Linked DNA regions of Cricetulus griseus. The protein of the gene in region 2 binds, or shares a complex with, the protein of the main gene of each other region. Links are inferred from orthologs where the notes say so. Each region holds a gene or a part of one and is shown on either strand. Other genes may lie near its edges.

Region 1 (4,028 bases), on a different chromosome or scaffold from region 2:
GATGGATGAGACAAAGGTCAGAGTGCAGGAAGCACTAGTGTAAGGCCAGAGATAAAGTGCACGCATGGCCCACCTGTGTGAGTAGAAGAGGACATCGATGAGGGTGGTGGCAATAGCCGGCAATGTTTCGGGGTCCAGTGTGAGAACACAAAATCGGTTCTGCGGGCTCTGAATGGGATGCACCGTGGGGCTGGGCCCTGCTCAGGATACATGGGCCACAAGGTGAAAAGGCAATCCTGGGCTTGGGCGACCCCTGGTGGTTGGGAAGGGAAGGGCCTGGGTGTGCCTATCCCAATGTCTCACACATTGAGAAACGGTATCTGCTGGTCCGATTGAAATACCCATCCTATCCCTTTCAAGGACAAGCCCTCCTGTAAAAGGTCCTACCTAAATCTGGGTGTTGGAGGGCAGACCTTACCATGCTGGGCTCGGGGAAAGCCATTGCTGGAATCATCCCTGGCAACAGGCACAGGTTCCCCGCCTACTTCCCGGTAGATTTGGAACTCCTGGGCCAGTGTGTGGATCACTACAGACAGGTCCTGCTCCCGTACCTGGGTCAAGGCAAATGACATACATTATACAGCTCCAGGCTCCTCTGCTTATGCCCTGTATCAACACCTGCCCAAACCCACCAGGATGAAGTCTGTCTGGTATGTGGACAACATCAACACAGACACGTGGTGCTCGGCCAGTGGGGCAATGACAGACCGGGCAATCTTGGTAACTCCAGCAGCCTGCATCACTGCACCGCTGTGAGATGATACGTTCATCACCAGCCATGTGGCCTCGGCCACTTGCAGGAACTCAGATGGGGGTAGCTCTGTGGGCGGGAGGTACACGCCTGGTTAGTGTGAGCCTTAGTGAGTTCCAGCAAGGCAGGTGAGGTCTGAAGAGCACGGCTGTCTTCTATCATTTCTGCCCTGCTTCGTTTGCAGGTGTTCTCAAACTCGGAATCAGGTTCAAGTTCCAGCTTCACCTTTGCTGTGTGACTTGAGGTAAGTGGCTTTTCATTGTTTGTTTTGAGACAGAGTCTTAAAATGTAAATTAGGCTAGGCTTGAACCCAAACTGATCCTCTTGCCACAGCCTCCTAAAACACTGTGATTCCAAGCCTGTTTAGTCTGTTTCCTATCTGCAAAATGGGATATTCCTGGGGACTTTTCTGTGGCCTAATAGGCTTCATAGAACCACCAGAGGGCGCCAAGCAATCTACTGATTGGGAGTTGCTCCTTTGCAGACAAGAGATTTCCCTACAGAACAGGGAAACCAAGTCCTTCAGGAGGGAGGTTAGGCCAAGCTCCAGGTGGCTGGCTTGAGACTCTAGGCCTCAGAGGATAGGCCAGGAAGGCAGAAATGGGAGCCAGAAGTCAGTTCCCAGGTCCCAATGCTGAACAGGGACAAGGGCCAGGGTGGCTGTTGTTCGCCCAAACACAGCCAGGAGGCCCCAGGACCCTGCTCTGGGCTTGCTGCCTGCTCCTGCATTCCTTCCCCAACCCTCAGGCTCCTAGACTTCCCGGGCCAGTAAAGGAGGATCTGGCTTTCACTGGCGAGAGAATTCCAAGAATAAATAATGTCCGTGGGTTAAAACAGCTACAGGAACCCCTTAATGGGGACTAAAACTGTGAGACAACCCCCCCCCCACACACACACACACCCCTTACTGGCCTGGGACTCACACCCTGCCCTTCCTGGGCTTTAAGTTTATAAAGCTCTCATAAATACTGTTAAACTGACAAGACTATGTCTTACATAAGAGAAAACTTAAGTGAGGGGTGGAGGATTCGAACCCAGACTCATATGCCTTTGAGACCTTGGGAAGCTGGATCCATCCCTGCACTTGGTAAGAATACGGCTTACTGGTGAGCAAGGGGCCAGTTCCCACCTTTAAAACCCTCCTCATCCACCATGAGTGTGTAATCTTCCGGGGTCTCCGTCAGGCTGAAGAACTTGCACCTAGTGGGGAGGGAAGGGGTGGGGAGACTTTCAGGCTGGAGTGAATGGGCTGGAGAGGACAAGCGAACTTCGTTCCAGCAGTACTAAAGGACCCCCCGCCGGGCGCCTTCCTGACCCGCCCTCAGGCCTCAGTTCCTTCCCTGGAGCAACGTGGTCTGGGTCCCATCTCCGGCTGATTTCCAACTCCAGATCTTCCCTCCATTCCACACCCTAGAGGTGTCGGGCTTTGGGTTCCCCTAAACAATTCTTAAACTTTACGCGAGGCGCCTGGGAAAGGGCTAAGGCAGGGCTAGGAAGGCATGCCCCACTACACGCCTATCCCAGGCAGTTTGCACCTTGACAAGCCCTGGGAGGCGAGCTCTCCGGGCCGGATAGGCGGCGTCTCAGAAAGGGTAGGCCCGGCCCGGATGGTGGCCAGAACCGACAGCGTCCCCACCCGGTACCCGCTACCTCGAGATGGCCCTAATCCTCCGCCCCTGGCCTAGAATGACAGAGGAGCCCCCTCCCGTCTGACCTGCGCCCCTGAACCCGGGTGCGCACCGGCTGCGATGGGGCAGGAAGAGCAGTTTGATGAGTGGGTGGGTGTAGAGCCAGAGGCCCTGGCGGGCGACACTCAGGACCCGCACCCGGTGTTCTAGGATGTGCAGTTCCATCGCAGATCGCACGGCCACGGCCCCTCCGCCAGCTAGACCCAGGCAGGAGGCGGGGCGGCGCCCGGCTTAAAGGAGCCGCGGTGAGGGGCTCCACGCCGCCCGCTACGCGGCGGCCCCGCCCAGCCAGCGACCCACTCTCCGGCGGCCACGCCCCACAGCCTCTACGAAGTGACCACGCCTCCTCCAGAGCCCTGCTTTCCCAGCGCTGCCGGCTGCCCTCGAACCCAGCCTTCGCCCGCTGTCCATTCCTGTAGCCTCAGTCTGAGGATCACTGCCTGCTCCCACCCCTCGGTGGCCTCCAGGCCACGCCCCGGCTACGCCCTTTCCGCTGCGGGCAGTGTTGGGTTTGGGAACGTGCCGGAAGTTCGGGGTCCTATCTAACCTCCAGACTTGCACGTGGGGCTTTATGGTTGAGGCCATTAAGACGCGGGAGGGCTTCAAGACGTGACGGAGTTCGGCTGGAGCCGAAATGCTGTCCACAAAGCTCCAGAGTGGAGGCCAGAGACCCGCGCGCGGTACAGCTGGGCGGGGCCTTTGTCTTTCCTTTTATTGCTGGGGGCAGGGACTGCAGAGCTGATGAGACTGATAGGGACTAAAGATCACTAAGCTTGGGCTGCCCTGGCAGAAATTGGTATTGACCTTGCCATCGTTTTGACCAGGAGAAACCTGGCCTGTGTGCCCCAGGTTTTTAATCACCCTACTTCCAGAGTTGAATACTTCTCTCTAGGGAGGCACAGAAAAAGCGACCTATCACCTGAGCAACATACAGTGGGCTCTGAAGCTTGAGGTTATTCCAGAGAAACAACCCAGAAGTGCCTGAGCTGGGAAGGCCCAGGGCTCAGACATTGAAGGGACAGCCTCTTGCATTTGAGGCTCCCTGGGTATTCAGGCCAGAGACTTGAGCCCCGCAGAAGTCGCCTTAAAGTTTGTCACCATTAGCAGAACTCAACTGGCCTGAGCACATCTAGATTTACTTCAGATCCAAGAAGGCCCCAAGCACTGGTAGACACCCCAGGTATGATCAAGCATCTGAAGGTTTAAGAAGACCCCAAGGGTGAGCAGGAATGAGCAAACACAGGTTGGTTTCTTGGCAGGACACAGCATGCTCCACGGGGCCCTAATTTGGCCCAGGCACTCAAGCCTCAGCTTGGAGGCTTTGAACAAGGTCTGGTAAAGTCAGTCTCGGGTGTGATTGGGACCCAGCAGGCCCATGCAGGACTTCATGCGCTGGATCCTGTACTACAGGCAGACGGAAGCTGGGCTCAGCCCTGTTCCTGGCTTTTCTAGCTCCAGATGATTCTCATGGAACATTGTGCGGCCACCACATCCTGGCTTGTCCTCTGAAGAACTAGGGGTGAGGGATGGGGTCCACTCACCATGGCAGGTGTAGACAGTGGGAAAACATTGGGGTGAGAGGCAGAAGG
Region 2 (3,176 bases):
ATGAAAATTTTTCTTTGATTTTCCTGTTTTATTTAACCTTGGACTTGTACGTCTAGATTTTTGTTGTTGTTTTGTTTTTTGGCTTTTCTTGGTCTCACGCTGATGAATGATGCTGCAATTTATTTTCTACTACCATAAGTGTCTCGTTCTGGAATATAGCAGGATTTTCTGCTATAGTATTAAACATTTAATTTCCATATTTGTACTAGAATATGGAATAATGTGCTACTGTGAACATTTCATGTGTCTCCTTTATATATACAAACAGTGTCTCTGTTATATTTACCTAGAAGTAGAATTGGGTTGTGTTATTGCAAGATTCTGTTTGCCTGTATTTTACCTGTTATTTTTATGTCTGTTCAGGAGATAGGTTGGTTTGTAATCTTTCTTTCTCAGGCTGTTTTTTTTATTTTGGTCATTTTGTTAGCAAATTGTGTCAACCCCAAGAAGTATCACATGAGCTTTCTTTTTATCTTCTTTGGAAGAGTTTGTGTAGATGTTGGTGTTTGGTAAAACTCACCTGAAACCTCTGTCTATATTTCTTTTGGGAAAGGGTTTTTGACGAGTGTAATGTTTTTTAATTCAGGTAGTTTCTTAGTAGGTTTGAATAAGTTACACTTTGGCATTTTTTGTTAACCATTAAAAATATAGGTAAACTAGCCCGGTGTAATGACACAAGCCTTTTTTATCCCAGCATTTAGTAGGAGACAGAGGCAGGTAGATCTCTCTGAGTTCCAGGCTAACCTAGTCTACATAGTGAAAGGACAGCTAGAGCTGCATAGTGAGGCTGTCTTAAAACAACAACTAATGTGTGTATATGTGTATAAACTATTTAGTACTAGATCTTAATTGCTATTTCAATATGGTATATGATTTATATTTTAGCATAGTAACCCTTTAAGAAACTTAAACTGCTGTGGTGTGGCTAACAGTGATCAATTTTTTTTTTTCCCATAGGTGGATCGAAATCAGATGAAAAAGTGGACTTGAGCAAGGACAAAAAGTTAGCTCAGTTTAACAATTGGTTTACCTGGTGTCACAATTGTCGGCATGGTGGGCATGCCGGACATATGCTTAGTTGGTTCAGGTAAACTGCACTTTCCTTCCTTGATAATCTTACAGTTACAGGACATAGAGCAGATAGCCTTCTCAATAGTTCAGGCTCTTGGTATTATTGTATTATGTCGAATTAAGGAATTAATGTTTCTAAAACTTATTGCTTATTTGACTTAACAAAGGAAGTATCAATGGTTCCACTATTATCTTATATAATGTTAAACTATAAAAGTAATACCTATGCCAGGTTTGTGGTGGTACTTGACTTTGATCCAGCACTTGGGAGGAAGAAGCAGGTGGATCCCTATGAGATGGGTTTAGGAACAGCTTGAACATAGCAAATTCCTGGCTAGCCAGGGCTACATAGCATGACCCTGTTTTTAAGTTTTTTTATACTATAAATCCTTTGTATGGATTAAATGTTTAACATTCTTTAACCCCATTGGCGGGTAGGATATTTACAGTTTTTTATATCTTATAATCTCATGTAATTAAATTACGAATATAATTATACACACACATAAACACACACACACACACACACACACACACACACACACAAATCTACTACATTAGTTCTTTCCAAGTAATCTCCACATAAGTTGCTCTTGCAATGGAGATTCTCAAATAAACTAACTACTGATTTTGAACAGTGTTAGTGGTCCTGTGCCATTCATTAATATAACATTCTCATGAGCCTTCTCTCATTTTTGCTAACCTTAGTACAGCCCTGTCCCCTTAGTTACTGTTTTGGTATATAGTGTAGAAACTAAAACTGTTCATTTTCAGTAACAGTCTCCTCAAAGTTCACCTTGGTGATTGTTTCTAATTTGATGCTCCTTATTTTATTTATTTATTAAAAATATTTATTTACTACATAGACAGTGCTCTGCCTGAATGTATGCCTGCATGCCAGAAGATGGCACCAGATCTCTTTATAGATGGTTGTCAGCCACCATGTGGTTGCTGGGAATTGAACTCAGGACCTCGGGGAGAGCAGCCAGTGCTCTTAACCTCTGAGCCATCTCTTCAGCCCTAATTTAATACTCTTAATGCAGTTTTTTACTAAGGGTTTGAATTTATATGCTTAACCCAGTGGCATTTTGAAGATTGTTATATAAAGATTTCTGAATGTATAAAGATTCCTAACTGTTATTTCACCCTTTTTTCAGGGACCATGCAGAGTGCCCTGTATCTGCATGCACGTGTAAATGTATGCAGTTGGATACAACAGGAAATCTGGTACCAGCAGAGACTGTCCAGCCATGAAATGTTGTACCTAAAGAGAAACCTTCAAATGTGGAGTTTTTAAATAGATGTCCTTCATAGTTCAGAAACATACCTCAGAACAAGTCACTCATGACTTTCTTATAATGGGAAAATAAATCATTCTGTCTGATCAGCAATTTGACATTTGAGTGATTTTGATGTGCTTCTTAGAGGCAGATGCTGTTGAAAGAAACATCAGAGCATGAATATGAGTGCTATGCAGTAGGTTAAAGTTCATTTGAAACAACCTTCTAGGGTTTTGTCAACTATGAGTGTGTATAGAGGGTTTTAGAATAAAAACAGACCTTGTGTCAGCATTATCAATCTGAACTTGATATCTTTTGATAGAATCTGTACATATTTAAAGCCAAATGGCCAATTCAGTGGTTCAGATAAAAGTTTAAGATTCCATTCAGATAAAATATGAATTTTTACATTGAGAATTAGCACCTGACCTACACTGGAGTATAAATGTTAATATGTTTGAGAAAAGTACACGTGTGTGTGTGTGTGTGTGTATTTTAATGTGAATTTTTGACATAGATCATTGTTGCCTTCTTCAAAAAAATCCAAGTTAAGAGTGGACCAGTGAGGTGGTTCAGCAATAAGGGCCTTGCTTCCCATCCTAATGAACTGGATTCAATCCTTGGGGCTCACATGTTGGAAGCAGTGAATCTACTGATCTGTATAAGGGCGCCATGGCATGAGGCAAGCAGATGCACACACACTTAGAAAATAAGAAATGAATAAAATTTAATTTAAAAAGAATGTATCTCGAAACTTTTTTTTCTTTACAAAAGAGAAAAATTCGTGAAATTTCAGGAAAACATGCTAAAAAGTTTTTCAGTTTA

The links.
Region 1: the proteins of Mios (region 2) and Castor1 are in contact, whole or in part, in a cryo-EM structure (PDB 9LVK), measured with the Homo sapiens proteins. The link is inferred for Cricetulus griseus from reciprocal best matches to the Homo sapiens genes MIOS and CASTOR1. Residues at the interface, in NP_001357005.1 of Homo sapiens: Ala83, Asn84, Val109, Pro110, Lys111, His112, Ala113, Arg114, Asp134, Lys135, His136, Arg137, Asn184; in NP_001032755.1 of Homo sapiens: Val94, Ser116, Thr117, Tyr118, Gln119, Thr120, Asp121, Thr188, Tyr236, Leu255, Thr256, Ser257, Ser258, Ala295, Tyr296.

What each region holds. Positions count from the first base shown.
Region 1 is NW_023276807.1:100,670,686-100,674,713, forward strand, and holds the start of Castor1 (cytosolic arginine sensor for mTORC1 subunit 1), read right to left. Parts: upstream 2,856-4,028; 5' UTR 2,605-2,855; coding exon 2,492-2,604; intron 1,952-2,491; coding exon 1,881-1,951; intron 821-1,880; coding exon 633-820; intron 552-632; coding exon 419-551; intron 198-418; coding exon 74-197; intron 1-73. UniProt on the Homo sapiens protein: Functions as an intracellular arginine sensor within the amino acid-sensing branch of the TORC1 signaling pathway. As a homodimer or a heterodimer with CASTOR2, binds and inhibits the GATOR subcomplex GATOR2 and thereby mTORC1.
Region 2 is NW_023276806.1:216,952,617-216,955,792, reverse strand, and holds the end of Mios (GATOR complex protein MIOS), read left to right. Parts: intron 1-957; coding exon 958-1,087; intron 1,088-2,228; coding exon 2,229-2,325; 3' UTR 2,326-2,655; downstream 2,656-3,176. UniProt on the Homo sapiens protein: As a component of the GATOR2 complex, functions as an activator of the amino acid-sensing branch of the mTORC1 signaling pathway. The GATOR2 complex indirectly activates mTORC1 through the inhibition of the GATOR1 subcomplex.